Arabidopsis thaliana: one gene and its partners. The protein of the gene in region 2 interacts with the protein of the main gene of each other region in a pairwise test. Each region holds a gene or a part of one and is shown on either strand. Other genes may lie near its edges.

The links. The genes of interacting proteins can lie anywhere in the genome.
Region 1: the proteins of AT1G14020 (region 2) and AtVEX1 interact in a protein complementation assay, tested with the Arabidopsis thaliana proteins (one large-scale study listed by BioGRID).
Region 3: the proteins of AT1G14020 (region 2) and AT5G15500 interact in a protein complementation assay, tested with the Arabidopsis thaliana proteins (one large-scale study listed by BioGRID).

Annotation. Positions count from the first base shown.
Region 1 is NC_003076.8:25,228,055-25,235,553, reverse strand, and holds AtVEX1 (Nodulin MtN3 family protein), read left to right. Parts: upstream 1-3,709; 5' UTR 3,710-4,026; coding exon 4,027-4,069; intron 4,070-4,162; coding exon 4,163-4,199; intron 4,200-4,269; coding exon 4,270-4,486; intron 4,487-4,708; coding exon 4,709-4,870; intron 4,871-4,886; exon of another isoform or gene 4,887-4,986; intron 4,987-5,000; coding exon 5,001-5,120; coding exon of another isoform or gene 5,121-5,183; exon of another isoform or gene 5,184-5,206; coding exon 5,207-5,350; 3' UTR 5,351-5,616; downstream 5,617-7,499. Other genes in the region: AT5G62865 (uncharacterized protein), read right to left, coding at 987-1,490; AT5G62860 (F-box associated ubiquitination effector family protein), read right to left, coding at 2,013-2,513, 2,767-2,922; AT5G62840 (Phosphoglycerate mutase family protein), read left to right, coding at 5,882-6,111, 6,410-6,655, 6,761-6,842, 6,923-7,258. UniProt on the Arabidopsis thaliana protein: Mediates both low-affinity uptake and efflux of sugar across the plasma membrane. May play roles in nurturing the male gametophyte.
Region 2 is NC_003070.9:4,799,412-4,805,875, reverse strand, and holds AT1G14020 (O-fucosyltransferase family protein), read right to left. Parts: upstream 3,157-6,464; 5' UTR 2,947-3,156; coding exon 2,688-2,946; intron 2,608-2,687; coding exon 2,540-2,607; intron 2,455-2,539; coding exon 2,366-2,454; intron 2,274-2,365; coding exon 2,111-2,273; intron 2,004-2,110; coding exon 1,714-2,003; intron 1,625-1,713; coding exon 1,420-1,624; intron 1,313-1,419; coding exon 1,155-1,312; intron 1,033-1,154; coding exon 765-1,032; 3' UTR 501-764; downstream 1-500. Other genes in the region: LSMT-L (Rubisco methyltransferase family protein), read left to right, coding at 1-87, 168-383; AT1G14010 (emp24/gp25L/p24 family/GOLD family protein), read left to right, coding at 4,086-4,292, 4,378-4,587, 5,174-5,250, 5,347-5,491; VIK (VH1-interacting kinase), read right to left, coding at 5,833-5,959, 6,031-6,146, 6,248-6,333, 6,437-6,464. UniProt on the Arabidopsis thaliana protein: Glycosyltransferase involved in the formation of rhamnogalacturonan I (RG-I) oligosaccharides in the seed coat mucilage, which is a specialized cell wall with abundant RG-I. Transfers the rhamnose residue from UDP-beta-L-rhamnose to RG-I oligosaccharides.
Region 3 is NC_003076.8:5,029,765-5,037,310, reverse strand, and holds AT5G15500 (Ankyrin repeat family protein), read left to right. Parts: upstream 1-3,770; 5' UTR 3,771-3,867; coding exon 3,868-4,183; exon of another isoform or gene 4,184-4,462; coding exon 4,463-5,520; 3' UTR 5,521-5,663; downstream 5,664-7,546. Other genes in the region: AT5G15520 (Ribosomal protein S19e family protein), read left to right, coding at 1-69; AT5G15510 (TPX2 (targeting protein for Xklp2) protein family), read right to left, coding at 723-924, 1,041-1,135, 1,222-1,281, 1,580-1,678, 1,799-1,918, 2,014-2,106, 2,219-2,264, 2,347-3,191.

The DNA of each region.
Region 1 (7,499 bases), on a different chromosome or scaffold from region 2:
TTAACAGTGGAAATTATCCATAAAGTGAAAAAGACTTGAAGATCACAAATCCGAGTTTTGGCAGTAAGAAATATGGTTATTGGATTTGAAGTTGGGTTAATATTGAAAAAGTAAAAGTTTTTTCGAATATATCATATGAACTCAACAAACAAATGCAACGGGCCCGACAACTCAATATATGGGCCACATCCGAAACGAGCCGACCCACGTAATGGAAGTCCCTTGCCAGGTCACGTGTTTTCTCCCTCTTTGTTCCTATCGGTCCCTTCTTTTATTGTTTTCTTTAATTTGCTGTTTCTTTTGGTCTTATGAATTTTGAACCATTCTTATGAATCTGAAGGTGAATCGATTCTTCGGTACAGTTTTCTCTCTAGAACATGTAAATCGTTATGTAGTTCCTTAATAAATTGAGAGAAACGAAAAAATGTATTTGAATGTTTTGATCAATGATCGTCATTCGTTTATGGCTTCCAATAGAAAGGTTTGAAGTTTGAATTGGGAAAAGTGTTGTTGGTTCATTACATACTACCCCAAACGATTGATAGTTTCTTCTCTTTACTCGGCTTTAACGGTAACTATATCTTTGGAAAACAGAAAAGTTTTTGAGTGGAATTTTAAAAATGAGTATAGATTATAAAAATAAAGAAATCATGTCAAGCAACCATGATTAACTAAATCATTACTTCCACATATGCTAAACAGCTAATTTACATAAAATTATATTATATTAGCCACAACAAGTTCAATATCCCCTCAAAAAAGAAACAAAATATTGCTTCTCTTTCAAGAAACATAAAATTTGGTTGATAAATAAATTAATTAAACTGGGAAAATAATAAAATTAATTCAAAGTTGATTATATAAACAGAATGATTAAATAAGAAAACGCGACAGACTCCAAAAACGATGTAAACCAAACCAGTCAACCATTTTGACAGCCTTTTCCCCGCCGCCAGAAACGCAAACGCGTTTCTCACACGCGCCCACTAACTTTCAATGATCTCATTACGCGGCGTCAACGCAGACAACGACGTCGGCGAAATCGCCGGAGCTTTACCTGAGTAAACCGGGACAGAAGCGAATCGGGTCGAGAAGCTTCGTAATCCACCTAGTCCGACGTATTCATCCTCCTCGTCGTCGTCATCGAAGTTCAAAGAGTAACTCAAAGGATCGTATTGAAACTTCTCGCTTGCGTCCCAATCGCGGCCGCGTCGTGGATCGCGATTGAATCGACGAATGAAAGTCTTCCACCGTGGACCAGCAACGATTTCTGACCACTCTCGGATCTTCAAGGATGCTCGGATCCACCAACGTGGCTCGTCGCCGTGGTCGCCGCTGTGATTACTGTCATCGACGGTTCGAATTCGTCCCCAGGAGGAGTAACCAACGGCGGTGGAGCTTCTTGATCGGCGGAAGCTGGGGAAACAACAGCAACGTTGATCGTACCGGGTATCAGGATCTCGGGTTGGGTCCGACTGCGAAAGTTCCATGGGCCGAAACTCAGAGAAGTTTTTTCTTGGGTCAAAAGACTCGTGATGATAATATAACTTGATTCAAGTTTTAGCTGTAAAGGATTATGATTGGTCCTATTTATTATATGCACACTTGACACTTGTAATATAAATTAAGAAATTGTTATTTTTTCTATGTTATTATATGCACACTTGACACTTTTACGAATCATGGCTGTAAATATTAAAACCTTAGAAACTCAATTATCGATCAACACGATTGAGAATCATAAAAAGTGTTAAACAATTTCTTAGGCTGGTGAAAACGAGTCTTAGAAAAAATAAATATCTTGAGCTAGAATCCGTTATAAGATAGTTACTTTCCTAACAATGTTTTTAGGAATACACTTGATAAAACAAAATTGATATTTATTATAAAAACTACTATTCACTAAGGGAACGAGTTGAACAAATGTGATCCGGCGGGTACAACAAACTAACATTTCGGATCATAGTACGAGGGGTACAAAGATTGAGCAGATGTCACTGTCTTTGGCATTATCACAATCTCACCATTAGGACTGACACCAGCGATGCAATACCTAATTTCTCAAATATCATCATCTTAGACCATTCTTGTTGCTCAATATGATCTTCCATAATCCACATCTCTGCACTAGCTTTGGTGTAACGTATGCATCCTAATTTTCCTTGGTAGTTTACCAAAGTCAATTCATCGAAACTCACTTCACTGAGCTGCTGATTCATCTGCAGAGTTATGGGCATCTGAATACGATCAAAGCTTTCGTGTCTAACGTCGAACCTCACTAGCTCATAGAATTCGGGATCATCCCAGCTTTCTACATGTGCTATGTAATAGATAAACTCTTTGATACATAAACCACTACTCCTAGCTTCTGGAGAGTGATTCCAAATGCCTTGGATGTCAAGGCTCCTCCATTGCTGCTTCATTGGACCTCCCACTAATGTGAAAACTTGTTTCTCAACTGGATCATATCCGAACAATCCATCACACGAGTTGCTCCATCTATCGTGTTTTACCTCCGGTAATAAAATCGTTTTCCTATTGGTATGTTTATAGATCGAGCTTGACCAACAACAGAAGAGTCCTCGAAAATTATTGATACTTAAAATCCCAACTTCGCCCATGGTTTAATGTATAATTACTGTCTTTGTCTGGGTATATGAATGATATATCATTAGTAGGATAAGTAGAGGGCGAGAATAATGACCGAGTCATGATCAAGAGGGTGATACGAGATGACCACAGCTTCGATACACATTGGAACCTCACAAGTGACTTAACAGGGAGTCTCGAGAGTATATCGGTTATTACATCGAAAGGGATATGTATACCGTTTGAATTTTCTCTCTCGGAGATTTCGTTCTGACGTTGTTGTCGTCGTTTTGGAGATCGTGAGGTCTTCTTCTCTTGGCGTCCTCTCTTCATGGTGTCAGTTTTCTATTTCATTAAACTTGAACGAAGAAAAACACATATATATTTTTGGTTTTTGACATTTTTTGGGGGTTTATGACATTTGTTTTTTTGGATATTTTCTATATATTGGCAATACAAAAGAGTTTATAAGCTAAGCAGCCCAGTTTCATGTCCCATTAGGTTTTAGATCTCAAGTCTTAACCGACCTACATTTAAAGGGAAAACATTAAGAAACAATGAGAGATTAATTTAGTATTTTCGATTGATGCGCCTCACACTGAAACCTGAGGCTTGTGTGTTCTGTTTCTCTTCATCTTGATTCAATTCGTTTGCAGTTTCGTAGCTTGATGAGAAAGGAATATTAAGTGATTCATATATAGCAAAGTGTTTACATAGTAAACCTAAAAAGAGAGTAAAACTAAAATCTCTTCTCTTTATTCATCAATACAAGTTGCTATTAACAAAGTTTTTGGTTACAGCACATATTCACTTGCTTTGTATTATTGTATATACTATACAAGATGCTCTACACAACATTTACTATGACATGAATATGAGACAACAAACTCTTTATACATAATGAAGATGTAGTAATAGTAAATGTAATTATGTTTGAGAAAGAGAAAGAGAGAGAGAGAGAGAGACAGAGGTATTAATGTGAGTGAAGAGCCGGGTGTTTCTCATGCATGGGGTACGAGCGGAGTCAACGGCTTCATGGCTCAAATTTGAAACCACGTGTCATGCGTTTGTTACTCTACCCAGATTCTGCTGATTCACAGACTCACTATTAAAATCCACTTTTTCTTTTTTCTCTGTTCATAAAGCAGAAACCAAAAATAATCCAAATATCAAAAAACCAAAAACAGAACCTAGAAACCACACCAAAAAAAAAAAAGCTATTTCATCAAACAAACAAAACTCACATCACAAATCAGAAACAAACAAAAAAGAAACGCAGTACTAAAGAAAAAAATTATAAACAAGAATCATCGAAAAGAAGAATCGAAATCATCAACATATTTTGTTTCTCTTCTTCTTTTATTTTTATAAAATATAAATTAGTTCTTTGATAAAATCTGTAGAAGATAAAGAATTCTTCTTTAGAAACAAAGAAAAATGACGGACCCCCACACCGCCCGGACGATCGTCGGAATCGTTGGTAAGTCCTCCACAATTTACTCAAACATAAAGTTTAATTCAATCAACAACAAAAACATTTGCTCATGTCTTTGTTTGTCTGTTATATGTTTAGGAAACGTGATTTCTTTCGGCTTGTTCTGCGCTCCAATGTAAGCACACATGATGATTAAATCTTTTTTTGTTTTGTTGCATGCAATGACATATGTGAAAATTGTGCAGACCAACGATGGTGAAGATATGGAAGATGAAATCGGTCTCCGAGTTTAAGCCAGATCCATACGTAGCTACGGTTTTAAACTGCATGATGTGGACATTTTACGGACTTCCTTTCGTCCAGCCCGACAGTCTCCTCGTCATCACCATTAATGGAACTGGTCTTTTCATGGAACTCGTTTACGTCACCATCTTCTTTGTCTTCGCTACCTCCCCTGTCCGCGTAAGCCTTTAAAACCTCTAATTTCAACACGAATGATAAAAATATGTATATGCATTCTAAATTATTCAATTTATATAAACTTTTCAGACATAGGTTTGATAGCCTTTAAACCAATTGAAAATTAGTGAATTAGTGGTTGATGTTTGTTTTAGTTTGTTACTTCAAATGTAGATCGATATAGATTTTGATATGTGAAGTTATGATATATATATATGTGTACAGAGAAAGATCACAATAGCTATGGTTATCGAGGTAATATTCATGGCGGTGGTGATCTTCTGCACAATGTATTTTTTGCATACAACAAAGCAGAGATCAATGCTTATTGGGATCTTGTGCATTGTTTTCAACGTCATCATGTATGCTGCTCCTCTCACCGTCATGGTATGATGCCTCTTCTTTCTAAACTAATCACGGAAATGCAAAAATTGGATACTACACTATCAACTTTTTTCTTTTGTTCTCTTTATCTCGTGAATTTCCATTTAATGAGTTTAGTTATAATGTGGAACAGAAACTTGTGATAAAGACAAAGAGCGTGAAATACATGCCGTTCTTCCTATCATTAGCCAACTTCATGAACGGTGTCGTTTGGGTCATTTATGCATGTCTTAAATTTGACCCTTATATTTTGGTAAACCCTCATATATATCTTTATTGTTTGGAACTCAAATCCCTACATCTCAAAAAGGACTAATTATCTTCCATGCATGAAAACAGATTCCAAATGGTCTTGGATCGCTATCAGGAATAATCCAGCTTATAATATACATAACTTACTATAAAACAACTAACTGGAACGATGACGATGAAGATAAAGAAAAGCGCTATTCGAATGCTGGAATCGAACTTGGCCAGGCTTGATAGTTTCAGCTATTTCATCGTCTACGGTGCTTCATCGATAGGTTAAGATAGAATCAGAAGTGAGGTGAAGTTCTTATTACTATTATTTTGTGTAAGCCTATGTAGAAAAAAAATGAACAAGTGGAACCCTTAAGTTATGAAGTTTCTTGTGTATGAAGAAATGGGTTTTCAGTTTTTTTTTTTGGAAATGATTGTAACTTTCGCAAGTTGAATCTATGTACGTTGTTACAATTTTAGTTTTAATCGAAGTTTATTAGATTACTTTTATAACATTTTCTTTTTTGGAAACTGTAAGGAAAGAAACAAATTTGTCCTCTTAAGAGCAGAGTAATAAACAGAGTTTCTCTCTTGTTTTAGGTTTTTTTTTTGGTCCTGACCGGTTAAGAATATTTCCGAGAAAGTTACCGGTTTAGCTGATTCGATTTTAAAAACGAACCCATAATCTAAACCGGAATGTGCGATTCACAATTGTGGTTTTGTAACCTTAAAACACGGAGGACCAGAGATACCGTTTGAGATGACGATTGAATTATGTTATCATCATCACCGGCGGTCACCACCGCCTCACACTTACATCCTCCTCCGTCGCCGGAAACCTACCAAATTCCTCTGAATTTACTTTCCTCGCCGCATATTACCCGCCGAGACCTTTTCAAAACTCTCTCCGTATGTATTGCCACACCATCACTCTCCGTCTCCATCGCCGCACCAGCTAACGCACGCGGTCTCTTTCAAATGCCGCCTCTCCGGCTCTCTAATCGGTAATTTACTTTTTCAAAACCCTAGTTTTGAGTTTCTGTGCATACAACCAGATGTGCATCAATGTATACGTATCTTCGTCCTTTTGATTGGAACTAAGTTTAAAGGATCTTGTAAAGCTTTAGTAGATTAGTGAGATTCCAAATTCTTCACATTGAACTGTTAAGAGTGAATCTCTGACTTTTAACATTTTGATTCTTGTTCTTGATTCGTTTCCGGAGTTATTTAGCCTGGTTATCTTAGAAAATGGAGCTAATAATACACAATGTGTTTTTGGTTGTTGTTTTTTCTTGGATCAAGTTATTACCTTGTGAGAGCTGGGGAATCAGATTACGAAAGCTTAGGGATAATCAACACAAACCCGGTTGCCAAAACATCGGTAGATAGCGGATTATCAGAGAAAGGTAAGAAGCAGACTCTGAGAGCTGCGTTACAGTTAAAAGCAATGGGAGCTTGTGACCGAAACTGTTGGCTCTGGCCTTCCATAACACAGAGAGCTTATCAGGCTGCTGAAATCATCGCCGCCATCAATGGAATTAGTCGCAGGTAAAATCGTCCATTAGTCTTCTTACTCTTTAGTGAGGTTTTAGCTGTGGAATCTAATCTTTGTGATGGTACGCTGAATGTTTTATGTTCACTTGGTTTTCGCAGCTATATAGTTCCGGAGTATAGCTTCCTTGATGCTCGTGGTTTAGGAGCTTACGAAGGCAAGAAGCTTGAATCTATATCAGAAGTAAGATTTTAGCATTTTTCACATTAAAACATACAAACAAAAACTCGGGTTGAAGTATGAAAGTTTCAACTTCTGTGCAGGTGTATGCATTAGACTCAATATCGATGAAGACAAAACCTCCTCCTATAAGCGACGGTACCCCCAACGAGAGTGTATCAGATGTATTTGTGCGTGTGACGCAACTCATGTCTATTCTCGAGACTCAATACTCAGAAGACACAATCGTGATTGTTTCGCCTGATTCAGACAACTTATCGGTGTTACAAGCTGGTATCCAAGGACTCGACCTTCGAAGGCACTCGGAGTTGTATTTTGGACCAGGAGAAGTAAGATTGTTGGATGCAAACAGCATTCCAGTGTATAAGCAACCTGCTTCTGCCGTATATAAGTGTAAGAAACCACCAAACTGTGACTAAAAACATTTTATCCTCAGTATCTATGTATTGTTATTATTCAAATACAATTTTGAAGCTTAGTTTTAGATTTCAATGCAAGTGTTAGTACATATAATCATAATGATAATAGGCCGTATATTTCTAATTGCTTTCTTAAATGTTTTTTTCAAGAAACTCATATTAAGTTGTAGTGTTTTTGTTTCTAAAAAAAACTTCAACTAGTTCATTTGATAAAAGTTTGTTCTTACGAAAAATAAATATT
Region 2 (6,464 bases):
AGTCGTACAAACGAGGAACTCATATGCCGTGTTGTCAGAGATGCCTGCAAATCTGCTCTGTCTGGTTTTGATACGACCATTGAAGAGGTATATATGTTCGAGCTCTTACTTGTACTGTCTTTGCAGCTTAACACTCATTTCTTACTCGTCTTCATCGTCTGTTGTAGGATGAGAAGCTTCTGGACAAAGGAAAGCTTGAGCCTAGGTTGGAAATGGCTCTCAAGATAAGGATTGGTGAGAAGAGAGTGCTTCAGCAAATCGACCAAATCTTCAAGGATAGAGAGCTTGAACTTGACATTTTAGAGTATTACCAAGAGAGAAGGCTCAAAGATCTTGGGTTGGTTGGCGAACAAGGGGATATTATCTTCTGGGAAACCAAGTGAGAATTAGCTTAGCTTGTATAGCTTATCCTGCAGAACAAACTCAAGGCTAGAAAGAAAATCTTTACTGGTTTGGTCTCAGACCACATAGACTTGAATCAACCTCAAGACATCAGAGTTGAGAGACCACAATTTGTATGTTAGGCTATTGCCAAAAGCAGGCTTTTTGAAATTCTATAAGATGAGACATAATCTTCTTTTTAGTTACATCTTAATTTACGTAAAACTAAATAAATCAAGATCAGCAACTATGCAGGAAAATTGAAAAAAATTACAAACAAAAATGGAAAAACTCAGGGAAGGAACTATGCAGCTCCCGTTCAAGTGTTTGACATGCCGTCCTCTTGCGGAAGCAATGAGATATAATATGCTAAAAACATGACTTCAATGTGTTAAATTTCTATGGCCAAACAGGTCGTGGCAATTTGTACCTTCACAAAGACATTCTTGAGGATTTGCGTAGAAGTAATCTTCCTCCTTAGGTTTGTCAGAGATTACTCTTCGATGAGTAGGTGCTCCTGCTCGTCTCTCATGGGCTTCCTTGACTGCTACTGCAAACTGATCCCACGTGAGGGTCTTGTTGTGATGTAAGTCTAGTAGCTCCACGAGTCTCTTACGGTCAAGCAGGATTGTCTTCTTATATCCAAGGTATCTGCAAATTCAAATCAGATATAGACCAATAATGGTTATATAGAATCACAGGTTTGGTTATTCTTAACACCACCTTTTTAGTTGTCATGAAATTGAATGCATTCGACACCACAAATAATTTACCTACGATGACCTTCCACGACTTTTGCCATGTTTCCATCATACGTAGGAATAAAAGTGTTGCTGGCCACAGATACCATGAAATCTAGAGCAGCCATTTGAGACGAATGGTTCTGAAACTGTTGCAGCTCTGCTGACTCCAATAGCATTTCCTTCTTTACCTATAACCACAGGTGAGTAAAACTGATAAGAAAAAGTGCATTGTAATGACGATGCAGTTGAGCATTCTTTGTAGCAAGAAAAGGGAAACCAGGACTGGTAGACTCACAATTCTCGGGAATGCTTCCCTTAACACGGATAGTCTATGCTCGCTCCCATAAATCTCACCAGCTGCAATGTATATCTGTGTATTTTTCTCAAATCCCAACGCTTTTAATACCAAGGCCACCTCCTCTGGCGTCAAAGGACACAGCCCTTGCGCCCTCCTCTCCTCTGAGACTATCTCCTTCTCTCTCCACCAGGGATATGTGTACCTAAAGAACACAGAATGGACCTATGAATTAACAACTAAAAAGACCTATAACCAGAGCACCAATTCAGGAGAAATCTTTTGAAGAGAAACCTCATCTTTTTTAGCTCTTCCGCTTCTTCCTCAGTGCAACCATGAGTGCAGCCAGAGAAAGCTAACATGTCCATCTCATATCTCAGATGCAAAGCCACAAATGGCCCTCTTTGTTGTAGAATCCGAACTAACTTAGATCCCAAAGCCTCAAGCTGTGGAGTGAACTTTAGTCCCTGAAAATTCACCCGGCACCTGAGCCACTGGAGAGAGAGCGGAAGACCATTGTTTGCCAGGCGGGTATCAGTCCTATTGAAGTGTACAACTTTATGCTTGCTGAAGAGAGGCAATACCTGAACAAGAAATTAACCAATCACATATGCAAATGGTTAGGTAATATCTTGTAACAAGGATAGTCAAAGGAACCAAAACAGCAAAACTAGTGATAAACAAGACAAACCTGCTTCAAGTAATATTTTTCATCAGACCAGCTCACAGGAGGCATTTCGAACATTTGATATCCATACTTTCTACTAAACCGTTTAGGAAGCCTCCTTAAGATCCGAACTTCATCTCTTAATGAATCAATGAAATGTCTCACATCAAAAATATCCTCAAAACCACTGCAAACAAAAATGAGGATACTTTAGATTGCTAAAAAATGTTAAGCATATAAGACACATGAGTGATTCTATAAACACCAAAGATAGAGTACCTAGGATCAGCCCAGAAAGATGTTTTGTCAAGCTCTGGAACAACGAGAGTGAGATTCAATAACCGAGCAACAGTCACCATATCACATATCTGAAACACAACATAAAAATCAGAATTTGGAAAAACATCAAATCTGAAAGAAGAAGAAAAAGAGAATTAAAGCAAAGTCACCAACCGCGGATCGCATTTGATTCAATCCACCATTACAGGATACAAGTAGAATACCATTGCTTGTATAATTCCCTGCACAAAATCAACAATCTCGTTAAACTCTCTCAAGCACCAACGAACCCTAATGTCCCCTAAATAGAGAGAAAACTGACTCGGAGGAGGTAGAGGAGGTGGCAATGGAACTGGCTCAACAGGGGCTGAGAATCTAGAAATCTGATTGGTTAAACCAGTGAAGATCCGGGAATGCCAAAGCTCACCGGCGGCGAAAAGCTGAACCAAACACGTCCAAACCAAAATGCTGGAGCAAACTCTAACGAACCATACTTGTACACGAGGCTTCGGAACTGCCGGCGGAAGCGGAAGCTTATCGCTTCGCGCCTGAGTAATATTACTCTCCGATCTAACTTCCATCTCCCTCCTCCGACGATCGTCGTCGCCGCTTCATGAGAATAAAATTACTATAACCTAAATTTCTCCGATCTTGTGAGATGTCAGAAATTGAAATTAGATGACAAACGCGAAATGAAATGCTTCTTCTCTCCTTTGTGTCAAATGGTTTGAATCTCGAGGAGTTTTTTTTTCTTTCGAAATTCAGAAGAAGAAAAAAAAATCACGAGACGGAAAAAAAAAAAAAAGAGGTGGTAACGGTGAGAGATGGGAAAATAAGTTAATTAACCGTCAAAGTGTCTTCTTCTTCTTCTATTTATTGTTTTCCCAAGAAACTCATTCTATTGCTTACACAATTTATTTCCTAATTCAGAAAGCTTCAATTTTCCTAACTTGTTTCATTATATATATCATTAAATGTCAAAGATTATTCTATAACCAAAAAAAAAAAAAAATAGGTTTCAAGGATAATGATTGATCAGAAAAACATATGATAAATAAAGATTTCAAGAATATTCAACATTGAAAAACATATAAAGAAAGATGACACATTTTGCCTTTTTGATAGTCGTTGTCATTCGTCAACGGATTCACCTAATTGTTCTCCCGTACTTTTTTTATTACTGTCATCTATTTATTGCACTAATCACGATTCAAACCACTGTTTATATTCATCTCCTTTATTCAGATATTTTCAAGCTGTTGTAAAACAAAACAAAAACTGAAACGAAATCATGACACGTACCTCAATGTTGCATTATTAACATCCCTTCCAAGGAAAGATTACTATTTTATTCTTTACTAAAAACTCGAGTACAATTGTCTTTTCAACAAAATTTCCCAATTAAGTTTAAAATTAACATTACCAAGTCATATGTAGTTATGCTTGAATTATAAAATCTGGATGTGTTATTTGTTTCTTTATTTACTTCTAACTTACTTTAGTGTGATCCACTACAAGTATATAGGTCCAACATTATTAATGGGCCTTAATTTTAAAGCCCAATTCCAGAGGGTAGTACTCCACGTGTTTTAACGAATGAAATACTAACACGTGGCAATGCACGTGTTGACTTTCTTTTGTTTCCTTCCTTCCGTTTAACAAGAAAAATAGCTAAACTTTGAAATCCGTCAGATCGATTTCTCTCTATATCGGAGCCGTCATGAATCATCGTCGGAGCTCGATCGTACTATTGATCCTCTCAATTTTATCTCCCGTGACACTCTCTATACGATACGAGCTACTTTCTGGGCACACGAAATGCATCTCAGAGGAGATTCACGCAAACGCAATGACCATCGGAAAATACAGCATTATAAACCCTCACGAGGATCATCCTCTTCCTTCTTCCCATAAAGTCACCGTCAGGGTAATAATCATCCGATCGGATCGCATTTCCCTTCAATTTCTTCTTCCGGCGATTTCAGTATAATGCAATGTGTTTGATTTTTAAGGTCACATCGCCACAAGGGACGGCTTATCACGAATCGGACGGAGTAGAATCGGGACAATTCTCGTTTGTAGCTGTGGAAACAGGGGATTACATAAGTTGCTTCTCCGCCGTCGATCACAAACCAGAGACGACGCTGATCATTGACTTTGATTGGAGGACGGGTATTCATACCAAGGATTGGTCGAATGTGGCAAAGAAGAGCCAAGTCGAAGTAAGTTTTTCGCTTTTTCTTTACTCTTGAAGTCTTAACTTAGTCAAACTAATCTCTTTAGAGGAAATAGATTTTGATGCTTCTAATGACATGAACAATAGAGCATTGCGCCGGATGTGTGAGAATTTGATAGCTGCCTAAGTTACACCAAGACATAGTGCTGGAAAGTGGAAAGTTATATCTGAAGTGAGAAATGCTATGTAGTCTTGGTTTATAGGTTATGTTGGTGCATTGGTTTGGTTAGAACAAGGCCATGAATTAAGCTGACAGGGCTCGTGTGTTACTGACCTGTGTCTGCAGTCTTGCATATGAGAAAATAGCTTCATTAGTTTCACCTTTGAACCCCATCGATTTCTTCAGCTCATTCAGGAGTTCTTTCCCTGCTAAATGAAGGTGGATAGGACTAGGCTTTAACAGACGCAGAAAATTACTATCTTGAAATGTGGTAGATAGGACTAGGCTTTAACATACTACAGAGCAAGACTAGCTTGAAATGTAACATAGCCTCTTAAAGAGATTGCAGAGTTTTTGAAGGAATGTTTTGTTAACCTTGTTATGGTTGGATCTTGTTTTATTTATTGGCCAGACGATGGAGTTTGAGGTTAAGAAGTTATTTGAAACCGTGAATGGAATCCACGATGAGATGTTCTATCTCCGCGACAGGTAATGACAACAAAACCTGTCTTCCCTTGAAGTCACTTGATCAGAGGATGAGAGTGAATCAAAACTCAAAACCCTTCTTCATTTGGTATATTACAGGGAAGAAGAAATGCACAATCTGAACATAGCGACAAATTCGAAGATGGCATGGTTGAGTTTCGTGTCGCTTGCAGTTTGTTTATCGGTCGCAGGTCTTCAGTTTTGGCACTTGAAGACTTTCTTCCAGAAAAAGAAGCTTATCTGAAAACCATTACCATCTCCTGAGGGCAGAGATTGTATTGAAAACCCTATGACTATAGCTTTATATACACTACTGAACTCATTTTTCATTTTGTTACTGAATTTTTCGGAAACAGACATTTTATCCTGTCTGATATGATATGAACTTCTCATTAACCTGCAAACTCAATCCAATCCATGTAACAACAATAAAAGCTTTCTATCTCACACTCTTTTAAAGCAAATGAAAAGATGAAAAAGAAACAATCTTTACAAAAGAAATGAAACAGAGATTAATAAGGCAAACAGAGAATGATACTTTCTTGTTTCTGGTTGTTTTTGTGCTTAAATAATGGATTTTGTGTATTATGAAGTGAATAAGCCCCAATGGTGATCTGATGGTAGAGTTTCCTTGATCTTTTCAAGTCTCTTGAGAATGTCCAGAAACGACGGTCTCTGGTTCATGTCTGCGTCCCAGCATTTCACAATTAACCTATAAAAGAGAAAATTAGTTAGATAACCGGTAGAGTAATACCGGTGCATATGGCCTCGTATTTTTCTTACTCTCTTAGATCTGGTGTGCATCCTTTGGAACGGAATGTAGGTCTATGTCCATCAGATACATGTTTGGCTGCTTCATATGGCTCATGGTTCGCAAATGGTGGCTCTCCTTCAAGCATCTGGGTACAATGTGGTAATGAAATTAAGGTTAAGATTTTCTGAACTTTGGTTTTGTTTTTTGTAGTAGAGAAAGGAAGTTTTATAGTTAAGATCTTAGTACCTCGTAAAGTATCATTGCAAAGGAGAAGACATCGACTTTCTTGTCATATCTTCTATGCTTGAATACTTCAGGAGCCATATAACGATCTGGTTTTGTTGCACGAAGAAGAGAAACAAAGAAGGTGAAGTTAAAGAAATGAAAGGAAAAGAAGGCAGAGGACCTCCGATTTTACTATAGAACAACACTTACAGCTTCCTGTTTCTCCAGTCATTTTGTA
Region 3 (7,546 bases), on a different chromosome or scaffold from region 2:
AGAAGAATCACTTCGAGCGGTCAACGGGATTTGGATCAGGTTGCTGGGCGTATTGCAGCTGAATCATGAAGAGCTGTTGTTCTCCTTATGCTTGCTTTGGAGGAGCCTCAAGAATGTTATAGATCTTTTTAGCTTTTGTGATTTTAGATCTCTACTCTCTTCTGCTCTGTTCATTTTGACGAACTAATTTGATATTTGATGAAGCTATTAAAGTTTTGTTCTTTACAGTGATTTTGTATCCCAAGTTTACTCTTCTTCATAGAAATCTCAAGAAACAATTTACTCTTCTCTATGAAAACTCTTCTGGTATGTCAGTCATATACAAATTTAAATTGGAAGATGATTTAAAACTCACATATGTTTCTTGACCAGAACTAAACCAATGTACACCGGATTCTGCAAACAAATGTATGAGAGGTGGAACACGGATTGAATCATAAGATAAGTCAGTTAAATCCAAATTCAAACTGGAGGATAAGTATTATATCTTTCTGAACCAGATCAAACCAGATTTTGCAAACAATATGGAATCTTTCTCATTTTCTTGGGTGAAGACCAGATTATTATTACAAAGGTGAAACAAGAATGATTGTCAAATCTATGAAACTGCAACTAATTGGTTACAGAAAGGTAATGTAGTTTTGAAAATGAGAATATGAACAAGGATGATATAGTAGTAAATCCAAAAGAAGCTTTCTAGAGAAACTGATATTGGAAATCGCTCATGCAGGAGCCAGTTTCACTCCAAGAAGATGAACTGCAGCATCTGATCTTCTTGTGTTGCGGTATGTGAAACTTGGGATCTCGTGGTGCAGTTGGATGTTTGCTCGACCTTTTAATGGTAAAAGAAAACAACAAGAAGCAACTGTGTCAGCTTTTGCAATGACGTTCATTGTTATAAGAAAGTTTACTCTATTAGTTGGTCTGTGAAAACTATATTGAAAACATATTTCTCACTTGAAAACAATATCTATATTACCTATCATGCTCTCATAATAAGAAAGATTCAAGAGGATAGTATTTATGTACCAGTCTTTTACCTTCTTGGAATGAATGGTCGATCAAAGTATGGCATTGGTTGTGCTTTTGGGACCAATTCTTTCCTCAGCCTTCTTATCTCTTCTTCCTCTGCCAACTAAAAACAATATTGGATTTATCAAAATCAGTTAAAGCAAAACTCTATTATCGGATATGGCCACAACATCTCATATTAAAGTTTACCTTCTGTTGTCTTTCTCTTTCCATTTTGTATTGCTCAATGAAGCTCATCTTCTCGGCAACCTAGAACAACAAAAATTCAGACTTTAACATGAAGAAATTTATGGAACAATGCAAAGTTACTATAGACAAGTCAACCTTGGCTACAGACTACAATACACACTATTTGACACTATCAGCTATTTTCCTTTCCGTCTCAAGTCTTAACACAACCAGCTGATAAGAAAACAAGTATACTCTAAATGATTTGACAGAATGAAATGGTTACTGAAGCCAAATCATGTCAGCGGCTATGTTTTAAGGTATCTTGAACTTCAAGCCCAACAAAATGTAGATTTAATCATTGCATTAGCAAGGTTACCTGGTAATCAAATTCTGCGCGTTCAACTGCCCGGACATCTGAGTGGAGCGTCAAGTCGACTGGTCTTGTAATGTCTTTCCAATGAGGCTTCACTAGGCACTGAAACAGAAAACAACATTAGAACTTTTCATAGTCAACAAGACATCATCTCTCACTATTGTTACTACTAGAGCTTACAAGATCAATTGAGATGTTAATAGGAAAGCAGAACATGCTTACCTCAGGTTCATCGGTTGTCCATGGAAGACCTTGAGCAATGGGGATTCTCATCTTTTCTTCCTCCATTGTTATTTCGTGTATCTTTTTTGCTAACTCTTCCTCTTTCACTTTACCTCTTTGCTGCAGAGAGACAAAAGACCAACCAACTGTCATGACTCAATTTCCACCATAAAATTCGAAATTTTTCTTTAGTTTTAATCTAAAGAAACTCATACCTCAGTTCTAAGCTTAAACGGCTTCAATGAAGTGACCTTAACCTGCTTCTTCTTTGATCTTCTACTTCCCATTGTAGTCGATGACTCCATGCTCTGCCATAAACAGAAATATCAAAATGATTATTAAACTATACTGACATACTAAGCAAGACAGACAACCATTAAACAGCTAAGAAAATTCAGATGCTGCATGCAGGACACTTACATTTCTTCTACTTCTCCTGCCAGCATTTGAACTTCCACTCAAAACACTGAAACATCACAATATCAAACTATTCAGAACAAGACAAGTTCATAATTTCAGTGAGATCTCTTAGTCAACAACAAACTAACCTGCCACGGGTGCTGTCCCAGGACGAAGAAATCGAAGCATTGGGGTCTAAACCCAGATTCTTAGCTGTTAAGACCATTTCAGATGGACAAAACGAAGAACTCCATGGGTTTTTCTCTTTCTCACCCTCCAAGAATTCCAATTTCACAGGTTTCTTCGTATCCTCTTCGGTTTGATTCTCTTCTATCTTGTTGGCAGTCTTTGAATTACTAAAGCAAGTGAGTTTCTCAAATGCTTCTACAAGATTCATCACTTTACCAGATACAGGCACACTTTGCCGTGCTTCTTCCACCACCTTAGCTCTTGATCTCTTCATTGTGGAAACGCCTGTTTTCTCCGGTTCTCCAGATTCTTTTCCTTCTAGTTCATCGCCATTTCCGAGATTACAGCATTCCTCCAAAGCTTCCTTATCCTCCTCTGATTCAATTCGATTTTTGAAGAACTCCTCTTGCGAAGCACGCAGAGTTTCATATGCAACACAAACACACTTCATGTTCCCCTTCTTCCTCTCTCCGCATTTACAATCTATCTCAGCTGCCTTGGATTCTGTAATCGCTGGCTCCTTCTTCCCTTTCCTCGAATTCTTCTTCGCCACCACAACAAACTTCCTCTCTCTGATCCGATTCCGGGGAGAGAAAACCGCCTGGGTAGGTTTAGGGCTCGGACTCGGATTCTTCTGCGCTGATTTCTTCGCAGATTTCATGAGCGGTGATTTAGAAGGACTCGCTTGTGAAATGTTAGGGTTTGCATTCTCCGATGATCTGGAAATCTTTTGATTGGACTGAAACTTGCTCCGATCCTTCACCGGAGTCCCTGCTTTCCCATTCTTCAATGTCAACGACTCCATCGAAGATAACAGAATCTGGAATCAAGAGAGTAACACGAACAGTAATCGATCTAGATTTGAGAATCTCTCCAACAAAAAAAAAATTGATCGGAGGTGAAGAATTAGGGTTTGTTCTTGCTATGGAGTATTGTAAATCGAATAAGAAGATAGATTTGGGGGAAAAATGTGACCGTTGCGGCGCTCTTTGGACGCTCTCTAATAACGGCTAGTCTTTTTGGTGCTTTTTTAATAAATAAACTTAGATTAGTAATAAATAATTATTTTCCTAATCTTGTCCGTTAGATTGTCAAATTAATGATTATGATGATTTTAATCCACGTTTAATGCCACGTCACATCCGAATTTCAACACTTTAGCAGCGAGTTATTTTGTACAATCTTAGCCATTAGATCAAATAGATGCTGGAGCCGATATGATCCACGTTGTACTCCATGTCACATCAAATTTTCAGACAATAATTCTTATTTATCTAATATCAACCGTTGGATTAAATGATCAGATACTGACGTGTCCACGTATACTGCCACGTCACCTATAATTTCCCACTCTTTTCCTTTTTTTGGGAACTTCCTTCATTCACAAACGAGTTATCATTTCGTAGCCAATTAAGTTTCATCATCATATTTAATCACCAAAAATATAATTCGCATCGTCGTTCTGTTCTCTTGAGTCACTAATGGACCAAAGATCATTAGAAGCTGCTGCTAAATCTGGAAACATCGATCTACTATACGAACTAATCCATGAAGATCCATACGTTCTTGATAAAACCGACCACGTGCCCTTCGTTAATACTCCTCTCCATGTGGCAGCCGTCAATGGAAAAACAGAGTTTGCCATGGAAATGATGAACTTGAAACCATCTTTTGCTCGGAAACTTAACGCCGACGGACTTACACCGTTACACCTCGCCGTGGAACACGGTCACTTCTGGTTAGTACTTGAAGTAGTTAAGGTTGATCCAAGTCTTGTTCGTATTAAAGGGAGACATGGTACGTACACTCACTTATTTTGTTGAACCCTTAATTATGTTTCTTAGTTTTTTCCAAAAGCTTTAGCTCTAATCAATCCGAACTAATGTTATAATATGTATCTAGTAAATTCAAATCTTGGAGATAGTATTGAAGTAGGACGAACAGTCCATTGAATACTAGTTTGAATTCAGTCTATTGTTGCTTTTGACTAGTCATTATGTCGATATTGTATGGTCAGATCATGAACTAGATTGGTTATACCAGGAGTGTTTAATTCATTTTTCTTGTCCAAAAAAGGTATGACGCCATTGCTAGTTGCGGTAAGTAGAAAGAAGATTGATCTGATGTCAGAATTCTTCTTGGGTTGTCCCGAAAGCATTGTGGACGCAAATGTGAACGGAGAAAACGCTCTTCACATCGCCGTGAATAACTACGACCAAAGAGAAGGATTAAGCGTTCTTAAAGTTCTCATGGGATGGATCTTAAGATTGTGTCAAAAAGATGCAGAGTGGATCGAGACAAGAGTCATAAACCGAAGAGACAAAGACGGTAACACGCCTTTACATCTCGCGGCGTACGAGATCAATCGTCAAGCTATGAAATTGTTGTTAGAGAGCTCCAAGATTAACGTCAACATTGAGAACAAGAACGGTTTAACCGTGTTCGACATTGCTGTGTTACACAATAACAGAGAGATAGAGAGAATGGTTAAGAGACATGGTGGAAAACGTTCGGTTTCTCTTGTCAAGATTAAGACAACATCGGATATACTCGCGTCGCAGCTTTCTTGGAGAGAATCGAGACGGACGAAGAAGATTCGGTTTTATTCTTGGATCTCTGAAGAGAGAAGAAACGCTCTTTTAGTGGTCGCAACTCTCATCGTCACAGCTACATATCAGACGGTTCTCCAACCTCCCGGAGGCGTGTCTGATGGCGGTGGTCAAAAGAGTGGAACAAGCGGTCCGAAAGCGGGTTCAGTGGTTATGGACGAGGTCTACTTTATCTGGTTATGGTTGTGGAACAGTGCGGGGTTCTGCTTTGCGATTGAGATGATGATACGTTTGTTGAGTTTAGGACAAGAGAGTATGTTTTGGTATTACCCTCTGTTCGTTCCTATGGTCTTGGCTTACTCTGTTGCAGGGGATGTGATCAAGCCGAACGCAAGAGCGTACACGATCGCAGGTGTGGGTGCGATCGTGGTTCTTATAATTTGGGGATTGGTAGTTTGGTTTTGGGAATGGGTGCAGTCTAAGAGAACCAAGCAACGTGGACCCAAGAGTGGATTGGTTTGGGAAGGTTTCACTACGTTGGATCAAGCTAGAGGTGTTGCGCCTAATCGGTATGTGATTAGGTAATCTTAATTTCCTCTTGTTATTTTATTGTTGCTTTTGTATTTTTATTCTATAATGTGTAAAATCTCTACTCGGGGTAAACCTATTTACATGAAATATCTGTTTATTATTTGCTTCTAATATTTACTCTACGTGATATGATGTGCATAAAAAGACTACATGATTGACAAGAGTATACGTTGCTAGAAAGTGGAAGGTGTCGTATGACGCATTCTAATTCGAATGTAAATTAGTAAAATAATTACTGAATCTACAAAAATCATGATTTTGAGGTTTTATGGTCACAGTTAAAGTAACATGGCAAACTTGTATACGAATCAAAAAAATATTGAACCATGTTATATTTGAATTCTTTTTCAATATATTTGGTTTCGATTTATATTTTTCTAAAACTATATATAGCTTTAATATTAAAATTTCAACCGCACTCTTCTTTTTATTAGTTATTTATATAATTATGCAAATATAGCTTGAGAAGCACTTCAAAAAGTGTGACTGAGTTTTTAAGCAAAGTGCAGTTAGTCTTTTGTCTGAAGTTTGTCCTGCAGACCTCACCACACAATCACTTAAGTACTCATATATACAAAATGGTTTTATAATAATAGATTAACATGTACATTATTGAAACTAAACACCAAACTTTGGGAAGTATATTATTACTATGAATGGACATTGACGCACAGAAAAGGATTCAAACCAATAATGTATATTCCTTGTTAATATTTCTCAAATTAAATAATATATTTTGCTGGTAAGAAATATGTCTATATATATATATAATATTGTTTAGTAGGTGAACAAATAATATATACATAGCTATTTTTGTTTTGAAGCATCAATTACCTCAAGAGAAAATTTAATAAGTGGAAAAAGTCAGAAAAATATGAATCCATAATATAAGTGATTAAGTGTAAAGGTTGGGGAAAAAACGCTAAAGAGATACAAATTGTCCAAAAAAACAATTAAAAAGGTACTTCCTTTTTTTATATTGTGGAGATTGGTAAGTCAGTTATATTTTCTTCAATGAAAGTAAACAATAGACAGGCAATAAATGAATTTATTTAGTTTCCAATATAAAATTTGAATATGTTTTAATATACAAAATAGTAACAATCCATAAAAGAAATATATATTTATATATAATTTACAGTTTATTTTGTTGACTGATACAAACATTTTTCATGTTTTTTTGGCAAATACGATAAAGTGTATTTAAGTTGGTCGAAATCCAATCAATGGAAATATGTCAAATGTTTAACGTGTCTTGAAGACTTTTTACAAAAACCTGCCAAATATTGTGAGCCCATCGTTTTTTCTACCTATGTCATTCAATTTTTAACTGATAGTGTTTTGTTAAATTTAATTAAGCAATACTAATAAATACTAAGACTTTTAAACAAAAACCTGCCAAATATTTTGAGCCCATCGTTTTTTCTACCTGTACATCATTTAATTTTTAACTGAAAGTGTTTTGTTTAATTTAATTAAGCAATAATAATAAATAAGTAACCAAAAACACTTTAATATCTTTGACGGTTTCAAGGGCAATTTAGGAATCTCATGACCTATATAAACTCCATACTCACCCCGCTATTCTTCTCCATCGTCAGATTTAGCGATTTCACCTCCATTTTCTTCGATCAGTGCTAGAACCAGAGCCTACCTAGCTCGCACCTTAAGGTATCATCAAATTCTAGCTTCTCTCTTTCTTAATCCGTGTCACGATCCAGTTTTGTGTTTAATCGCGATCCGATCTCGGGCTTTATCTCCTGTTTCGATTTGGATCTACTTTGGTTGGTTTAATTTTCATATAGATTTGGTTTTTGAATGTTTGTGTGTTTATTAACCTTCTTCTGTGATTATATTGAGAGTTAACAATTTTCTGCATTCAGGCTCGATCTGTGTCGGTGATCCGTAGAAAATTCACGTAATTTCATTTCTCATTTTACGTTATTCCCAATTCCTGAACCGGGTTCTGTTGCATGTACCAGATCTGAGATTTTGATTTGAATTTCTTGCAGTATGTGTA